Callithrix jacchus: one gene and its partner. The protein of the gene in region 2 interacts with the protein of the main gene of each other region in a biochemical or structural test. Links are inferred from orthologs where the notes say so. Each region holds a gene or a part of one and is shown on either strand. Other genes may lie near its edges.

What was found. The genes of interacting proteins can lie anywhere in the genome.
Region 1: of the proteins of KLHL12 (region 2) and DRD4, one has a biochemical effect on the other in vitro, tested with the Homo sapiens proteins (2 studies listed by BioGRID, with this or other methods). The link is inferred for Callithrix jacchus from reciprocal best matches to the Homo sapiens genes KLHL12 and DRD4.

What each region holds. Positions count from the first base shown.
Region 1 is NC_133511.1:131,255,263-131,265,217, forward strand, and holds DRD4 (D(4) dopamine receptor), read right to left. Parts: upstream 6,681-9,955; 5' UTR 6,640-6,680; coding exon 6,379-6,639; intron 4,599-6,378; coding exon 4,486-4,598; intron 4,383-4,485; coding exon 3,410-4,382; 3' UTR 3,389-3,409; downstream 1-3,388. Other genes in the region: DEAF1 (deformed epidermal autoregulatory factor 1 homolog), read left to right, coding at 916-1,020. UniProt on the Homo sapiens protein: Dopamine receptor responsible for neuronal signaling in the mesolimbic system of the brain, an area of the brain that regulates emotion and complex behavior.
Region 2 is NC_133520.1:29,962,788-29,972,034, reverse strand, and holds the start of KLHL12 (kelch-like protein 12), read left to right. Parts: upstream 1-472; coding exon 473-646; intron 647-2,122; exon of another isoform or gene 2,123-2,682; coding exon of another isoform or gene 2,683-2,802; intron 2,803-4,460; coding exon 4,461-4,691; intron 4,692-9,247. Other genes in the region: transcription and mRNA export factor ENY2-like, read right to left, coding at 463-486. UniProt on the Homo sapiens protein: Substrate-specific adapter of a BCR (BTB-CUL3-RBX1) E3 ubiquitin ligase complex that acts as a negative regulator of Wnt signaling pathway and ER-Golgi transport.

The DNA of each region.
Region 1 (9,955 bases), on a different chromosome or scaffold from region 2:
ACCACCTGACGTCAGGAGTTTGAGACCAGCCTGGCCGACATGGCGAAACCCCATCTCTACTAAAAATACAAAAATTGGCCGGGTGTGGAGGCACGCACCTGTAATCCAGACACTCAGGAGGCTGAGGCAGGAGAATCGCTTGAGCCCAGAGGTGGAGGTTGCACAGTGACCTGAGATTGCAACATTGCCCTCCAGCCTGGGCAAGAAGAGGGAAACTCCATCTCAAAAAACAAAACAAAAACAGAACTGGATTGAAATTTACATATGTAATATGTACATATGCAAATGTTTCTCTGCGTGTGTGATACTCTTTGTTACACCCCGAACACAAAACAGCTGGTTTGCAGAGTCGGACCCTGGTTTGTTGTTTGCCCTTTTTTTTGATATGGAGACTCGCTCTGTCACCCCAGCGGGAGTGCAGTGGCACTATCTCTCGGCTCACTACAGTCTCTGCTTCCCGGGTTCAAAGCGTTCTCCTGCCTCAGCCTCCCAAATAGCTGGGATTACAGGTGCCTGCCACCACGCCTGACTAATTTTTGTATTTTTAGTAGAGATGGAGTTTCACCATGTTGGCCAGGCTGGTCTTGAACTCCTGACCTCAGGTGATCCGCACACCTCAGCCTCCTAGAGCGCTGGGATTGCAGGGTGAGCACCACGCCGGCCTCTTGCTTGCCTTTTGATCCAACCAAGAGATTCAAACCAAGAGAGTGGGAAGGCAGGATTGGAGCAGAGGCCACTAGTGCAGGTGCACGGGGCTGGGGAGGGCATTCTCTCAGCACCCCTGTGAGCTCACACGTGGCTGCAGCCGCTAGGGTTGGGGGCCTGGGGTCCACCTCGGGGACCCTGCCCAGGTCCCACTTAAAGGCCCTGCTCCACCCCCTGACCTTGCTGACGTGGATGTGTCCTCCCTTCCAGGACTGGAAAGATCACCAGCACATGTGTGGCCAGTCAGCAGCTGTCACGGTGCAGGCAGACGAAGTCCACGTGGCTGAGAGCGTGATGGAGAAGGTGACCGTGTGAGGCTCCCCCAGCCGCCCTGTGAGCTGGACGCCCTTGCACTCCTGCGAGGCTTTTGCAGGTGGAAGTCCCCGCAAGGACTCTCGGGGGGCGTTGAGAAGAGGGTGTGGGAAGGTGAGGAAACTTGCTGGACAAGTTATTAAGAAACTTTACGTAATGGTGCCCTGGGGAGCGGACTCCCCCCGCCTGGGCCCCTGCCCGCTCCAGGAGAGACTTTTAGCCCCAGGATCATGAGCGTCCGGTCTTGCCCACGGGCGTGTGCTGTGACGCATGTACATACGTGTGTGTCTGTCAATAAAGTGTAAATAAGGCCTCCCTTCCCACGCGGCCAGTTTCAGTGCCAGCCCTCTGGGATGGCTCCTTCCTCCTGCCCACGCAGGTGGGCAGCCTGAGTCCACCACACCTCCAGTGCATGGGGAAGTGTGACCGGCCAAAGTGTGGTGCCCAGTGGCTGGCACGTGTAGTCCAGGAGAGTCTTCATTCCTTCTGTTCCACAAGAGCCTCGCAGCTGCTGGGAGCGTCACGCCAGGCTTCGGGGCACATGGTGCCCTCCTGTGCCCAGGCTGACTGAGTGAGCCCAAGGACCCAGCGTAGCCTGTTTAGCACATGTGGACACCTCAGTGGCCTCAGTCAGGCCTCCACACGCACAGCCTCATCACGTGGACAGCGCGGTGGCCTCGGTCCGGCCTCCACACGCACAGCCTCATGTCCTCCTGGTCTCCTTGTTTCTCATGGCCCTGGTACCAGGTGGAGGAGAGAGAAGGGGCTGAAGGCTGCGGGGGGCACCAGGTGCATCCTGCATGTTTAGCTGCTGGGCTGGGCCTGGACATGGGACCCACCTGCCCTGCTGGAGCAGCATTACTCTTGTTCTGGAAACCTCTTCCCTCGTGGCCTGTGTTCCCTGCACGCAGAAGGCTCCACAGCTGTCGCTGCCCTGAGGCAGGAAAGTGCAGATCCAGCAACAGCTCAGCGGGCACCGGGGTGGGTCAGCAGCGCCGGGAGGCACCTGCGCCAGCGGTTCTGATGCTGTCTTCTGAAGCGCTTTCTGCCCCAGCTGGGCATGAGCACCCTGGAAGGTGCTGTGCTCGGGGAGAGGCTCACCGGCTATGGGCTCCACAGAGGCCCCGTCTTTTGAGTCTGTGGGTGTCTTGGGACCGAGTGGTTTATTCTGATTTTTTTTTCTTTTTTTTTTTTCGAGACTGAGTCTCACTCTGTCACCCAGGCTGGAGTGCAGTGGCGCAATCTCAGCTCACTGCAGCTTCAACCTCCCAGCCTCAAGGGATCCTTCCGCCTCAGCCTCCCGAGTAGCTGGGATTACAGGTGTGACCACCGCCTGCAGCCTGCACGGACTGTTTAGCAAGCTGAGGGAGTGCCTCACGCTGTAGACTGCACAGCCTGGAGTCTCTGTTCCCATGGGAGCTCAGCACCCCGGCCAGCTGCCCTGGCTCAGAAGCCGCATCCCCAGCACAGGAAAGGTCCAGCCAGCAGGACTGGGAGGCGAAGGGCCCCCCCTTTTCTCCCATAGCCTGGGTCTGGGAGAGAGCTGGATCCAGTCCAGGGTGGGCTGTTCCTGCATGGAGGCCCCTGGGAGCCACCCCGCCTCTCCCAGGGTCGGGGGCTGCGCTATGGTTGAGGGAGCCAGGCAGCCCAATGCAGACAGGAAGCTTGGGTGGCTCTGTCTACCCCTGGCTCTGCTCTGCCCATCCCAGCCCCGCTCTGCCCATTCCCTCCCCACTCTGCCCATTCCTTCCCCCACTCTGCCCATTCCCTCCCCACTGCCCACCCTCGCCCTGCTGAATCCTCCCTGCTCCCACCCCTTGGCCCCCCCACATGTATGGACGCTGGGCAGCGGTTGGCTGGGCACCAGGGTGACTGAGCATGGAGCCCCCTCCAGGGAAGCTCCTTGGTGGGCCCCACCCAGCACCACAGGCCCCTTCCTGTGGGGCTTGGGGCATCCTCGCCCAGGGACTGGCAGGAAGCTGTGCCCCAGCCTCAAGGCAGCTTCTAAAATGATGGGTTGAGCACCCCTGTGGGGTTCTGTGGGACAGAGTCTGGAGCCTCCTGTGCCTGGTCTGCTAAGGCGGGAGTTGGTCTGGGCAGGACCTGGTGGCTGATTTCTTCCCATTGGGACTGGGCTGCCCAGGAGACACCTTGCCTTCCTGAATGCTATTTCCTCTCCCCTCCCTCCTCTCCCTTGCATAGAGGGGGAGGCTGGGCCAGGGCGCTGCAAACTGAGTGGGCCTGATAGTGGGGTGTCTGTGGGCCTCCTCGGCGGGAAGGAAGGGGTTAACTGGCTGGGGGGTCTGGGGCAACTGAGGCAGAAGCCCCTCCTCCCTTTTCCCCACAACCCCCAGGAACCTTCACAGCTGAGTTTGGGAAGGAATTTGTTTAATTAACGTACAAAGCCGCCCTCCCATCTCCTTGGTCCCTGGGGCGCGGCGCCCAGCCTGCGGGGCGGTGCCCGGCTCAGCAGCAGGCACGCAGGGCCTTGCGGAAGACGTTGCGGAACTCGGCGTTGAAGACCGTGTAGATGACGGGGTTCAGGGCGCTGTTGACGTAGCCCAGCCAAGTGACGGCGCTGACCAGCCGTGGGGGCACGGAGCAGGCGGGACACAGCGCCTGCGTGATGTGCACCACGAAGAAGGGCGTCCAGCACAGCAGGAAGGCCCCTGGGGGCGCCGAGAGCCGCGTCAGCGCCCCCCCGCCCTCTGTGCCCTGTACTCCTCTCCTTTCCCCCCGCCGTCCCCCAAAATGGGAACCCACCGACCACCACCGGCAGGACCCTCATGGCCTTGCGCTCCCGGCCGGTGATCTTGGCACGCCTCCTCCTGCGGGTCTGCGGCGGGGTCTGGGGTGGGAGCTCAGTGGCCTGGACGTTGTCGTAGGGCGCACAGATGGGGCCACGCGGGTTCTGGCGGAGGCCGGGGGCGGGGGGCGCGCAGTCCGGGCCGCAGGGGCCCTGGTGGAGGCCGGGCGCGGGGGGCGCGCAGTCGGGGCCGCAGGGGTCCTCGGGGAGGCCGGTCGCCGGGTAAGGCGGGCGGGGGCAGCTGGGCCGGCGTGGCGCGCGGCGGTGCAGCTTGGCGCGACGGGTCACCTCCCAGCGCCGCAGGCCGCGGAACGTGGCCCAGTAGAGCAGCAGCATGAGCGGGCAGGGCAGGAAGAAGGAGCACACAGACGAGTAGACCACGTAGTCGCGGTCCTCCAGGCGGCACACGGCGGGGTCGCGGCCGCGCACGTCATTGAGGCCGCACAGCACCGGCGCCGCCACCGCCGCGGACAGCAGCCACGTGGCGCCGATGAGCAGCAGCTGCCGGCGGCTCCCACCCTGGCGGTTGTAGCTCAGCGGCACGGCCACGGCCACGAACCTGTGGGGAGCGCCGAGGGGGCGCGGGACAGCGCGAAGGCCGCGGTGAGGGCGGCGGCGACGGCGGGAGGGGTGCGGGGGCGCGGGCGGGGAGGGCGGCGCACCTGTCCACGCTGATGGCGCACAGGTTGAAGATGGAAGCGGTGCACAGCATGACGTCCATGGCCATGAGAGCGTCGCACAGGCGAGGGCTCAGCAGCCACGCGCCGCCCTGCACCTGCACGGGACACCGAGGGCGCAGCAACACGAGACCTGAGGTTTCTCGCGCTGCGCGGCCAGGGACCCTCACAGCCACTGCCGGGCCCGAAACACCACCTCCCCCACTCACGTCGCCCTTTTTTTTTTTTTTTTTTTTCCAGTGGGGGTTTCTTTCTGTCGCCCAGGCTGGAGTGCAGTGACTCACTGTAGCCTGGAACTCTGGGATCAAGTGATCTTCCCACTTCAGTATCCAGAGTAGCTGGAACTACAGGTGTGCACCACCACCCCCAACTCATTTTTGTACTTTTAGGAGAGACGCGGTTTCACCATGTTGGCCAGGCTACTCTCGAACTCCTGACCTCCTGATCCACCTCCTTTGCCACCCAAAGTGCTGGGATTACGGGCATGAGCCGCCGCGCCCTGCCTGTTTAACTTTTTGTACAGACGGGGTCTGGTATGTTTCCCGGGCTGGTCTCAAACTCCTGGGCTCCAGTGATCCTCCTGCCTTGGCCTCCAAAGTGCTGGGATTACAGGCGTGAGTCACTCTCCTGGACTTGGTCTCCCTCTTGTTACAAACATGAGAAAGGCCTGGGGGCGGGGCCTGATGTCATGGGGCTCAAGGAGAGCCCTCTGCCCAGCCTGGGGTAGGCAGAGTCCCCGCTGGGCCTGCAACGTGAAGCTGGCTGCTGACCAGCCTCAGACCAGCCTCAGACCGCCAGCCAGACTGTCTGGTGAGGCTCAGTGCGGGAGGTTCGGGTGGTTACTTCGTTTCTGCTTCCTCGTCTGTAACAAGGGTGATGGCAGTATCCACATGACGATTGTCTTAAAGATAAATTAGTTTTAAAAAATGTGTCGACCTCGCCCAATGCCCAGCGTGGTACTCCACACGGAGTTACTCTCCAAGGGCAAAGGGGCAGGTAGTCCCCCTAATCCCTTCCCGCCGATTTGGGAAGATTATAAGCTTAAGCGTCGTCACTGTGACGTCTGTGGCTCGAAAGGAGCACAGGTCATGCGTGTCTGGCGCTGCTGGTCCCTGCCCCAGCCGCCAGGACTCACCGTGGCCACCGAGGGGAAACCCCAGTCCCCCTCCCCCATAGTCCAGGACACCGCGTCCCCAGCTCAGCCCTAAGCTGCTTTTCTCTGGCAGCAGAGGGGCTGGCACCGAGGCCGACCCACTCCAGGGCCAGACCTGGTGTGGGGTGTGGGCTCCATCCCCCAATTCTCTCTCATCCCCCAGGGTTCTCAGCAGGGTCCTGGCCCCCACACACCCTCCCCTCCCCTGGATTCTGTCCAGCCCAGGCCTCCCCTGCTCCCCTGCAAGCTGAGCCTCCTTGTGGGGGTGTGCAAGTGTCTGCACTGGGTGTGCGTGGTGGGCAGTGGCTGTGGCCGAGTGCAGTGTGTTTGCAGGTGTGTGTGTGCGCGGTGTGTGTTGTGTCCATGTCCCAGGGCATCCAGGGGGCTGAGCCTGTCTGTCCAGCTGGTTTCCCTGGGGGTGAAATCCAGCTATGGAGGGGGCTGGGCTTGACAAAGTCGTCTGTTTCTGGGGTCCCTGGATCCAAGGACGGGGCATGTCCTGGGTAGCAGACACCAACACAGAGGGGGAAGGGAGGAGTGGAACGAGGGTCCGGGACGGACAGCGCAGCGGGTGGGAGGGCCCGAGGGGGCGGTGGTGGGAACAGGCGGAGCGCAGCTGCCGCCGCCCGGGCTGGAAGCTCCAGAGCAGAAAGGGGCCGGGTCGCGCCGGGTCCTCCGCGGGGACAGGGACCGGGAACAAGGGATCGGGCGCGGACGCGGCTCACCTCAGAGTAGACGAACAGCGGCAGCACCAGGAGCGCGAGCAGGAGGTCGGCGGCCGCCAGGCTCACGATGAAGGAGTTGGTGGGCGTCTGCAGGGCGCGCTCGGTGGCCACGCTCACGCACACGAGCGAGTTCCCCGCGAGCACCGCGCCGATGAGCAGCACGCCCCCCACCAGCGCCGCCGCACCCGGCCCCGCCAGCCCCGCTCCCGGCCCGCGCCCCGCCAGCAGCCCGCCCGCGTCCGCGGCGCTGCGGTTCCCCATGGCGTGCGGGCCTCACGCGCCCCGCGGGCGCTGAGCGCCACGGACAGCGCCGGGCACCCAGCCCGGGAGTCCCTCCCCTCGGGCACGCCCCGCCAGGCCCTGGTCCCGCCCCCGACCCAGCTCCTGGGGGCGCGGGGGGAAGTGGGGGGTCCCTGCGGCGCTCCACCGTGCGCCCGCGCCCAGTATCTGCTCATCGTGGAATTATGCGCAGGGAAAGACGGGCAGGTGGACGAATGCGACGGCCCAAAGGGACGGGAATTAAGCGAGGTGGTTGTCCCGCGGGGTCGGCGGGGACGCGCGGGTCTGCACCCCGATAACCCGACAGGGATGGAGAGGCGGCCAGACCCGGCCCCTAAATGCGGGCATCGACCCAGCGCCGACCCGCGCACCCCGCCCAGTTCACTTGGCTTCTGGGAAAACGTCCTTCCCGGGCCGGGCCGGTCTCGCCAGACGCTGGAAGACCCAAGCTCCGCCTGCCCCGCGGACTCGCTCTGGCCTTGCGCGCACCCTCCACGCCCGCTCCCGCCTCGGACACGGCGCCAGACCCAGCCGCCGACGCCGCGCCCCGCCCGCAGCAGCCTCTGGTCCTCGCCCGGCGACCACCACCCTCGGCCGCGGCTCCTCTGGCCGTGACCCCGAGCCAGGTAGGCGCCCCTGGGACCCTGGGCAGGGGTCCCGGCCCCACCGACCGTAGGTTCAGTCCTCGAGGAGGCAGCTGGAAGGAGAAGCCGGCCCTGGCGGGTTCCAAACGTTCGGAAGAGAAAGTGCTTGCAAAGCGCAGAGAGAGGTTTGTGGACTTCATAAAATCGGGGTGACACCTGAACTGAGCGGTGTTTTCTGCAGCCTTCCACTAAAGGGGGTTAGAGGCACTACAGGCGGCACCACTGTGCGGGACTCCGGGCCATGCACGTCCCAACCCTCGTGTCTTTGTTTCTGGGAGCAGCAGTGCCAGGAATTGAGGATCCTGACCTCAAAGGTATGGGGGACATAGGCCAGGTGGAGGCACTGACGGGAGAAGTGAGGACGCTGAGAAGCAGGCACTGGAGAGTCACAGGCAAGGTCTTGGGGTCTGTAGGGGAACGGGCTGCTCCAGGCAGGTGTGGGCAGGCATCTAGCTATGGTGCAGACAGCCAAGCTGGCCCCCAAGATGTCTGCCACCATCAAGACAGTGAAAAGAAAGCTAGGCGGGAAAGGGGGTTGTAGCACCCATCTCTGGTACAGCAGATGCAGCATACAGAGATCGCTTTTGAAACAATGACAAACTGGCCGGGCACGGTGGCTCACGCCTGTAATCCCAGCACTTTGGGAGGCCGAGGCGGGTGAATCAGAGGTCGAGAGATCGAGACCTTCCTGCTCAACATGGTGAAACCCCGTCTCTACTAAAAATACAAAAAATTAGCTGGGCACGGTGGCGCGTGCCTGTAGTCCCAGCTACTCAGGAGGCTGAGGCAGGAGAATTGCCTGAACCCAGGAGGCGGAGGTTGCAGTGAGCCGAGATCGCGCCATTGCACTCCAGCCTGGGCAACAAGAGCGAAACTCTGTCTCAAAAAAAAAAAAAAAAAATATATATATATACACACACACACACACACACACACACACACACACACAGACACACACAAATGACCAAGAAGTGCTTGAAAAGATCCTCGTCGCCCTTAGTCACTGGGGAAATGCAAATCAAAACTACAATAAGATGCCATTGCCTACCCATTAGAATGGCGATAATATAAAATAAATAGAAATAAATGTACGGAGGGGAAAGCTCACTGCCGGCGCCGTGCGAAGTGCTGTGCTCGCTGCGGGGGAAAGCTGAGCAGTTCCGCATCAAGGTACACACACAGTTTCATGCGACTCAGCGGGCATGTGTTACAGACCAAAAACAAGTGAAAACAGGTGTTCAAACAAAGGCTTGTCTGTAAATGTTCACAGCAGCACTATCCACGATATGCAAAAGGGGCGGGGCACCGCGGCTCAGGCCTGTAATCCCAGCTCTTTGGGAGGCCAAGGTGAGTGGATTGCTTGAGGCCAAGAGTTCGAGACCAGCCTGGCCAACATAGCGAAACCCCCTCTCCGCTGACGATACAAAAATAAATGGCCAGGCACAGCGGCTCACACCTGTGATCCCAGCACTTTGAGAGGCTGAGGTGGGTGGATCACCTGAGGTCAGGAATTTGAGACCAGCCTGGGCAACGTGGTGAAACCCCATCTCTACTAAAAATACGAACATTAACCAGGCATGGTGGCCGGTGCCTGTAATCCCAGCCACTAGGGAGGCTGAGGCTGGAGAATCGCTTGAACCTGGGAGGCGGAGGCTGCGGTGAGCCGAGATCTAGTCAGCGCACTCCAGCCTGGGGGATGCGGTGGGTGGCGCACACCCGTAAACCCCGTTACTCAGAAGTTTTCCATCTGGGGAGTAGAAAGTTCTGGAAGGAAACAGCAGTGGTGGCTGTACGACTTCGTGACTGTGCGGAGTATCGGTTTATACTTCAAAATGGCTAAAATGCTAAGTTTCACGTTGTGCGTATTTTCTCACGATAAAAATAAACTCAGCTGTAGAGAACAATTTAAAAATGGGCAAGAGACGTGAAGCCACATTTAACCCACAACAAGCTGCCAATGGACATAAGCGCCTGGAAAGAGGTTGTGTCCCAGCCATTGGGGAAATGCAACCGAGACCACAGCAAGGAGCAGCCTCGCAGCCAGAACCGCGGAAGCTAAACATAGCGGCTGCAGCGACTTCGAGTGACAGTGTGCGGAGAAAGTGAGGCCAGGGCGGGCGGATCACCTGAGGTCAGGAGTCTCAGACCAGCCTGGCCAACAGGGTGAAATACCGTCTCTGCTAAAAATACAAAAATTAGCCGGGCACGACGGTGCACGCATGTAATCCCAGCTACCTGGGGGACCAAGGTGTGACAATTGCTTGAACCCGGGAGGCAGAGGTTGCAGGGAGCCGAGATGGCCCCACTGCACTCCAGCCTGGGCAACAGAGCGAGGCTGTCTCAAAAAAAAAAAAAAAAAGGCCAGGCGCAGTGGCTCAAGCCTGTAATCCCCGCACTTTGGGAGGCCGAGGCGGGTGGATCACGAGGTCAAGAGATCGAGACCATCCTGGTCAACATGGTGAAACCCCGTCTCTACTAAAAATACAAAAAATTAGCTGGGCATGGTGGCGCGTGCCTGTAATCCCAGCTACTCAGGAGGCTGAGGCAGGAGAATTGCCTGAACCCAGGAGGCGGAGGTTGCGGTGAGCCGAGATCGCGCCATTGCACTCCAGCCTGGGAAACAAGAGCGAAACTCCGTCTCAAAAATAAATAAA
Region 2 (9,247 bases):
GATAGTGCGTGCCTGTAGTCCCAGTTCCTGGCGGGGCGGGGCTGAGGCCGGAGAATCGCTTGATCCCGGGAGGCAGAGGTTGCAGTGAGCTGAGATCATGTCACAGCATTCCAGCCTGGGCAACAGAGTGAGACTCCATCTCAAAAAAAGAAAGAAAAAGGGGGCTCACAGAAGAAAATAGTATTACCAATTTGTTGTCTAGACATTCAGATAAGTTGAACCAATTAACCTCTTTGCCTTTTCAGACACTAACTGCACCAAAATCAGTTAGAAGCGAACTTTCTTAAATTAACCTTCAGCAACCATAGCCTGGTGAAATGTCAGCAGGGGAGTAACAGTGGTGATAAGGCTGTCTAAGATTTCCCTAAGAAGATTCTTTCCAATTTCCCTCTTAATGTCCACCTTGTAGTGGCCACAAGTTCCTTTCACTTAATTGTCTTGGAGTGAAAGAAGTAAAATCACCTTAGTGGTGATGATAAGCCCCATTATGACGCAAAGTATATACGAGGTCTGTGGATCGCAGGGCTCAGAGGATTCTTGCGCAGCGTTGTTCGGCCCCAAGAGGTCATTGTGGACAATGGAAGGGAAGAAATTTGAGGCCTCCGTGGGTTTTCTCGATAGCAAAAAGTTCCTCAGTACCTGGAAGGTAAAACGCACTTCCTGCATTCAGATGTTTAGCATATTAAGCCTTAGAATTCTCTCCGTCTGCTCTGCCTCCTGAGCGGTGGGGAGGGTCTCAGGCTCATTCAATCGCCAAGCTGTAGAGCTATATTCCCAGGCTTCCTGCGGACCCCACACCACCCAACCGTCCGTCCTTCCTTCCATCTTTCCTTTCTTCTATCTTTCTCTCTCTCGCTCCCTCCTTCCTTTCTTTCTTTCTCTTTCTCTCTTGAGAGTCTCACTCTGTCGCGCAGGTTGGAGTGCAGTGGTTCTGCTGCCTCAGCCTCCTGAGTGGTTGGGATTACATTCGCACACCAGAACGCCCGGCTAATGTTTTTGTATTTTTAGTAGCAACTGGGTTTAACCATGTTGGCCAGGCTGGTCTCGAACTCCTGACCTCCAGTGATCCACCTGCCTTGGCCTCTGGGATTACAGGACTGACCACTATGCCAGCCCTCCCCCCGCCCCCCCCGCCTCCCCCCCCGCCCCCGACAGGGTCTCATTCTGTGGCCCAGGCTGGAGTGCAGTGGCTGTCAGGTCTCCATATGCAAGCCTGGAACCAGAACGTCTGAAGTCCTGCCTGCTGCCTGCCTCTGCTAATTGTCTCCCACCCCACCGCCTGCGTTGGCCATTGTCCCTAATCGCCCAGCAGAGCTTCCCCGGACAAGCCCCTCACCCCACCCTGCCATCTTAACTGTTCTTATGTTAAATGTGGATACCTCTCACCCCATCCTGCCATCTTAACTGCTCTTATGATAATGTGAATGCTCCTTGCCCCATCCTGCCATCTTAACTGCTCTTCCGCCTTACTCAACCCGCCATTGTAACTGAACTTGTGGTCATGTATACTCCTTGCCACTACCCCCGACCACTGTAACTGATCTTACTCTGCAACACCCTCGCCCCCCAAAATTACCCCAACTTATAGAACCAATTCCCACCCTTACTCTCTTCGCCTTTCTCAGATTCGGTCCGCTTGCACCCAAGCGAGAAATAAAATGTCCTTGTTGCCCACACAAAGCCTGTTTGGAAAATCTCTATATTAAATGCATTTAATTTTCGGTATTATTAGACGTGAATAACAGTGGCGATCCTGGCCCACGGCAACCTCTGCTGCCTGGGTTCAAGGGATTCTCCTGCCTCAGCCTCCGGAGTAGCTGGGACTACAGGCGCAGGCCACCACGCCGGACTAAATTTTTTTTTAAATTTTTTGGTGGAGACGGGGTTTTGCTGTGTTGCCCAGGCGGGTCTGGAACTCCTGAGCTCAGGTAATCCGCTCGCCTCAGCCTCCCAAAAGTGCCGGGATTACAGGGGTGAGCCACCGCGCCCCGGCCACCTGACCTTTTTCTAATTCGGCTTCATAGCAGTTTACAGAAGTCCCGCCCCCGATAAGGCAGGTCACGTGACACCGCCTCATCACGTGACGCGGACTCTGCGGCGGGAGGAGGGCGGTCCTCACGCTGCATTGCGTCATCACGTCGCGCGGCCGCGGGGTCCAGACCCGAAGGCTCCAGAGCCTCCGGAGCCTCCGGGTCTGGGCGGCGGCGGCGGCGCTTCGGCTCCTTGTGAGCCGCCTGCTGGCCCTGCGCCCCACCCTATCCCCACAGGCTGGGGACAGGCCCGGCGCGGCTGTGTGGGCACGGGAGCTGAGGTGAGTTGCGCGGAAGTGATGGCAGTCAGTCTTTCCCTTCCTGTCCATCAACTCCGGGTTATGGCCCTTCCCCCATCCTTGGTCTCCCTGCAAGGGAATCGGAGGCTCGCCCTGGATAGGAGGAAGGCTGCGTGGGGCGTCTGGCCTCGGTCGCCCTCTCATCTCTCCGCATACCTCCACCTGGCGGTGCTGGTCATATGTATGCCTGCTGGTGTCAGGGGGAAGGACTTCGTTTCTTTCTCTAGAATTTAGTCTTTCCCGAATGTATTGCCCCTCCCCTGCCTCGAATCTCCCGAAGTGGAATCCCTCTATTCAGATGTTAACGGAAGTTCTAGAAAATAGGTCACTTCAGAAAGGTGAGAGTGAAGGATATGCTGAGACTTGGAGTGGTGAGGCAGGAATCCCCAAGAAGGAAGACCACTTTGCACCAGGGTTACTGTCATTTTGATGTGGAAACGACAAACCCCCCTCCCTCCCAGATTGTCATCAAGGTAAATAGACATTTGTTTCGGACCCTTTTTACACCCCTGGAGTTGAAATTAAATTGACTTAAGGCTTCTTGAAAAACATCATATGCTTTGATGAATCACCTGCTTTTCTGTAAAATTGGTCTTGCAGAGTTGTTGGAGGGATTATCTATGGTGCTTGTAGTGTAAAATGCCAACTATAAACATAAGTAAATGAGAATTTAAGATCTCATTTTTCCTATTGAAAAATTGTGAGTTGTGGACTTTTAGAGACCGTCGTTTGATTCCCAACCTTGGATCATTTCAGAAAGTTTTGGATTCCAATATTGATTCGTTAACAGTAATTGACATTTACAGATGTAGAGTAGGAATACCTTCTTGTTGAAGAGCTTCAATAGCTTAAGCAAGTAAGTCCACTTGGGTGGTTTCCACAGTTCATTGTAGGTAATGGGTCCTCAATTGGTTTTTTGTTGTTGTTGTTGCTGTTTTTAATTTTTTATTTATTTATTTTTTTTCTGATGCATTCTCGCTCTGTTGCCCAGGCTGGAGTGCAGTGGCATGATCTAGGCTCACTCGATGGAGCAATTCTCAACTGCCTCCTGGGTTCAAGCAATTCTCGTGCCTCAGCCTTCCCAGTAGCTAGGATTACAGGCATGTGCCACCACACCCGGCTAATTTTTGTGTTTTTAGTAGAGACAGGGTTTCATCATGTTGGTCAGGCTGATCTCGAACTCCTGACCTCAACTGATATGCCCACCTCAGCTTCCTAAAGTCCTGGGATTACAGGCGTGAGCTACTGGGCTGGGCCTGAAGTTTCACTTTAAGAAGAAATCCAGATATATTTGGAAGTCATCAGACGTAATTATTTGCATACTTTAGAAAAGTACATTTTTACCGAACTTTCTTGCTCTAAGTTGAATACACACTTTTTTTTTTTGCATTCAATTCTAAGCATTTATTGTGCAACTTCTAGGATAGAAAGCATACATATAAAGCAGGATCTTCACCCTCTAAATGCTTATCTACTTATGGATATTAAATAGTAATGATATAATACCTTTAAGGAATTTTATATTTTATTTTATTATTATTTTTTTTGGGACAGAGTCGCATACTGTTGCCCAGGCTGTAGTGCAGTGGTGCAATCTTGGCTCACTGCAGTCTCTGCCTCCTGGGTTCAAGCAATTCTCCTGCCTTACAGGTGTGTGCCACCATGCCCAGCTAATTTTTTGGTATTTTTAGTAGAGATGGGGTTTCACCACATTGGCCAGGTTGGTCTTGATCTGACCTCGTGATGCGTCCGCCTCTGCCTCCCAAAGTGCTGGGATTACAGGCGTGAGCCACTGCACCCGGCCTATATTTTCATTGTATCATTTGACACAAGAACCTTGTGAAGATTTACAGGACATAGATTGTTTACTTACATTTCAGCGTTCATCATAATAAATGTCAAGTGGTAGGGACACTCCATGATAGAGGAATTCGGAGGAAGAAGAGAGAACTTTTACATGGACTAGATAGTAGCTAGATAGTGGTGGTTATGTCAGGTATAGGAGTGCCTTCTACTTGTATATGTTTGAGTCTGAGGAAGCCCCTTAGATTCTCAATTTGTAAAGCTAATAAATATGTTGTTTCCCTAGTTTTTTGAATATGCTCATTGTTTTTTTCTCTTGTAATTGCAGAATCCAAGGACCCCTTTTGTTTCTCTGCACCACTTTCTGGGTGACATTATGGCCCCCAAAGACATAATGACAAATACTCATGCTAAATCCATCCTGAATTCAATGAACTCCCTCAGGAAGAGCAATACCCTCTGTGATGTGACATTGAGAGTGGAGCATAAAGACTTCCCTGCCCATCGGATTGTGCTGGCTGCCTGTAGTGATTACTTCTGTGCCATGTTCACTAGTGAGGTAAGTGGTAAGTTAGCCCCACACAAATGAAACTCTCCCATTGAACTCTACTTGTCTAATTTCACTGAATAAAATGTGATATAATTGTGAATTTTTACAGTGTGATGTTTAAGTAGGCAGATTCTGGATAAGATCTACCACCTGACTATGCCTTAGTTTCCTCATCTTTAAATTAGGGGTAATAGTAATATGTAATAACACATGATTATTAAGGTTATTGTGAAGATTACCTTATAAAATAACTTACGAAGTGCTTAGAATGGTGTAATATGTAGTAAAGCACAAATGTCAGCTATTGTATTTTACTATTTCTTAAATTTGTCTTCCAATTTTTCTCCTTTTTTTGTTTCTAATTTTATTTATTTGTAAAGACAGGGTCTCACTATATATTGCCCAGGCTGATCTTGAACTCCTGGGCTCAAGTGTTCCTCCTGCCTTGGACTCCCAAAGTGGCCACACCTGACATTACAGGTGTAAGCCACTGCACCTGGCCTTTTCTCCTTCTAAAGTTTAAAAATTCTTAAGTGAATACCAGAGGGCTAAGAAGGAAGGAAGGAGAGAGGAGTAGGATTCAGATCTCACCCCATTCCTCCTAACAATATGTGAAGAAAAATCAGTGTAGATTTTAGGATAACTTCAAATGAAAGGAAGAAGAGTTTTTAATGAATAGCTGTACAGGTATAGAGTACATCACCTGAAAAAAGATGTTAGCTCATAAGCATTTAACCAAGGGAATTAGGAAAAAGGTGACGTGACAGAATACAGGTAGTGCTAACAAAGTATTAAGAAACACTGCTTAGTAATTGCCTGACAAAATACTTGAAATGTGGAGTAAGGCTATATTGTGTTCAGTGCTCCTAGAAAGCTGCACAGGAAGGAACATTGCAAGCCTTTGTTTTTCAAGATCCCAAGTCTGATTATAAGAGCAGATTTAAATGAATTACCTTGATTTTTTTTTTTTTCATAGCTCAGTCATGGGTGCACCACTGTTTATTATATTATCTACACCCATATGTATGCCTGAAATAGTTTATTACAAAAACACTTTTTTAAACATCTTTTTAAGCACAAGTATTTTTTTTTTTTTTTTTTTTTTTTTAGTTCTATCATCTTAGTGAAGATATTGCTACTGGATCAGGATGGGAGAGGCATATTCTATGATGGTAATAACTACCTTTTATGGGCCAGGTACTGTGCTAGTGATTGTTGTGCATATCTCACTCACCCTAGGGGTTGTTATTACCATCTCATTTTTACAAATGAAGGAACAGGGTTTCATATATTAAATCACTTGCCCAAACTCCCATGGATTATAAGTGCTCAAGGTAGAATTTAATTCTATATTTTCTGTCTTATAAAGTCCAAACTTTTTTTTTTTTTTTTAATTTTGGTTTTTAAGATGGAGTTTTGCTCTTGTTGCCCAGGCTGGAGTGCAATGGTGCAATCTTGACTTACCGCAACCTCCCTGTCTCAGGTTCAAGCAATTCTACTGTCTCAGCCTCCCTAGCAGCTGGGATTACAGGCATGTGCCGCCACATCTGGCTAATTTTGTATTTTTATTATAGATGGTTTCTCTATGTTGGTCAAGCTGGTCTTGAACTCCCAACCTCAGGTGATCCGACTGCTTTGGCCTCCCAAAGTGCTGGGATTATAGGTGTGAACCACCACACCTGGCCAAAGCCGGAATGGTTTTTAACTATTATGCTGCCTTAGTCTCTGAAGTATGAATTTTATATCCTACAGTCTACTTTTAAAACCAGTATAGTTAAAAATACTATGGGCTGATGCTCAGTCACATGGCTAGTAGGGAAAACAGGAACTGATAGGTCATTCCAGCTAATCCAGGCTAATTTTTAAATGAACTTGTGTGATAAAACAAGGTAGATCCCTGTCCTATACTGTTCTTCATGGGATATACCAAGAGCATCAGAAGCATTTGGAATTTACCTGGGTAAAGAGAGTGTCACCCAGCAGCTGCTGAGCATCAAATAAACTAGAACTGTTGACTGCTAATTATGTATTGTGTATCCTGTTTTTTGTCAGCTTGAAAATATTCTGTCTTTACTCTTAATTCAGAAATTAATTCTTTTTTTCTCATTTTTGATTTCTTTCTTTAAAAACTGACATCAGGCTGGCCGGGCGCTATGGCTCACGCCTGTAATCCCAGCTCTTAGGGAGGCAGAGGCGGGAGGGTAGCTTGAGCCCGGGAGTTCAAGACCTGCCTGGGCAATATAGCGAGACCCCGTTCTCTACAAAAAGGAAAAAAGACAAAAAGACAAAATAATAATAATAATAATAAAACTTGACATCAGGCAAAAAAATGCCAGATGGTTTTGTTTTTATTTTTCAGAGTAATTGGTTTAAAGGAGAGAGTCCAGAGACCTGGAATCTAGGCTTAGTTCTCTTAGCAATTCTGTATAAACCCTGTCAACCATCTAACTTCACTGGGTTGATCTGTAAAATAAAGTAGTTGAACTAGATGGTTTCCTTGTTCTCTTCAGCCATGAAATGCTCCTCAAATGTCATCTGATTGAAAGATCACAGGACTGAGGCAAGAGGACCTGGGTTTTATGTCTCTCTTTTTTTTTTCTGAAATACTTTGATAGCAATGATATCTGTCTCTCACTGGCTGAGTGACTCTGGTTAAGTCCTATATCTGCTTTGATTCTTAGATCCTTTATCTCTTAAGTAGTAATAATATCAGATCTAACTACCTTACCAGGTTGTTGGGAGAATCAGATGAAATAGTAGAAAATGAGAAGCACTGAAAAATTCTAAAGCAAAATATAAATGTGAAATGTACTATTGCTCTAATCAATATTTAAACTATTTGATGGAAATATAGGTTATTGAGTGAGAAATTTCAATTTCTGGAATACGTGTACTTACATATTTCAGTATCATAATTTTTTTTTTTAAATTTTTTATTGGATTTTAGGTTTTGGGAGTATCATAATTGAATGTATTTAATGTGTTGGGACAGTAATTGTTTATAAATATTAGTACTGTATTAAGTGTTAATAAAACCTAATATGTTTTTTCAAAATAATGTGCTCTTGACTTTTTTTACTGTTAGGGATTGATTTTGTTCTTGGCTTTGTAGAGAGTGCTTTTTGGTTATTCTCTGGCTGACGGAGAAATCAAACATGATAAAGCAATTTAGTTCATAATGGAGGTACACCAGATTTTTGTTAGTAAAATAAATTTCTAAACTAAGATTCAGTAAAAATTTTTATAAGGTATTTTTAGATAATTTACTCTCCTTTAAAGTTGAAGATTTCTTCTCTTAGCTCAACAGTTTTCTATGATTATCTGGCCTCATCAATACTCAACAGCTTCAAGGAGATATACTACTAACAATTCAGTTAGTCTAACAATATTTTGAAAAAGTAACAAACACTTTATTTGTATTCAGATGGTGTTACATAAGAAAGTCCCTTAGGATGACCTGCATATTCTTTTTCATCATTACTAAATGTAGTCTGAGGGCCAGGCATGGTGGCTCCCTCCTGTATTCCCAGCACCTTGGTAAGCAGAGGTGGGTGGATCACCTGAGGTCAGAAGTTCAAGATCAGCTTGGTCTACATGGCGAAGCCTTGTCTCTACTAAAAATACAAAAATTATCTGGGCACGGGGGCTCACGCCTATAATCCCAGCACTTCGGGAGGCTGAGGTGGGCCAGTCACTTGAGGTCAGGAGTTTTGAGACCAGCCTGGCAACATAGTGAAACTCTGCCTCTACTAAAAATATAAAAATTAGCTGGGAGTGGTGGCACATCCTTGTAGTCCCAGCTACTCAGGAGACTGAGGAAAGAGAATTGCTTGAACCTGGGAGGCAGAACTTGAAGTGAGCCAAGATCGTGCCACTGCACTCCAGCCTGGGCAACAGAATGAGACTCCATCTCAAAAAAAAAACAAAACAGAAATTAGCTGGGTGTGGTGGTGTACTCTTGTAATCCTAGCTACTTGGGAGGCTGAGGCAGGAGAATAACTTGAACCTGGGAAGAAGTACAGTTTGCCGAGATCGCATCAGTGCACTCTAGCCTGGGCAACAGAGCGAGACCCTATCTCCAGAAAAAAAAAAAAATGTAGTCCAGGGACAGATGATAGGAACTAGGTAATCCTGGAGAGACTGGAGTTATAACCCACAGGTCCTCTACAAATGTGAAATTTTTTTGAAATTCTGTGTCTTAGCTGGGCGCAGTGGCTCATGCCTTTGGGAGCACTTTGGGAGGCTGAGGTGGGCGGATCACCTGAGGTCGGGAGTTCAAGATCAGCCTGACCAACATAAAGAAACCCTGTCTCTACAGAATTAGCAGGGCATGGTGGTGCATGCGTCTAATCCTAGCTACTTCGGCACCTGAGGCAGGAGAATGGCTTGAACCCGGGAGGTGGAGGTTGTGGTAAGCCAAGATGTGTCATTGTACTCCAACCTGGGCAACAAGAGTGAAACTCTGTCTCAAAGACAAAGAAAAGAAATTTTGTGTTTTATCTTAAAAGTTGATGGACTAGTGTTATATTCATGGAAGTTTTGCATTCTATTCTGTGATACTTTTT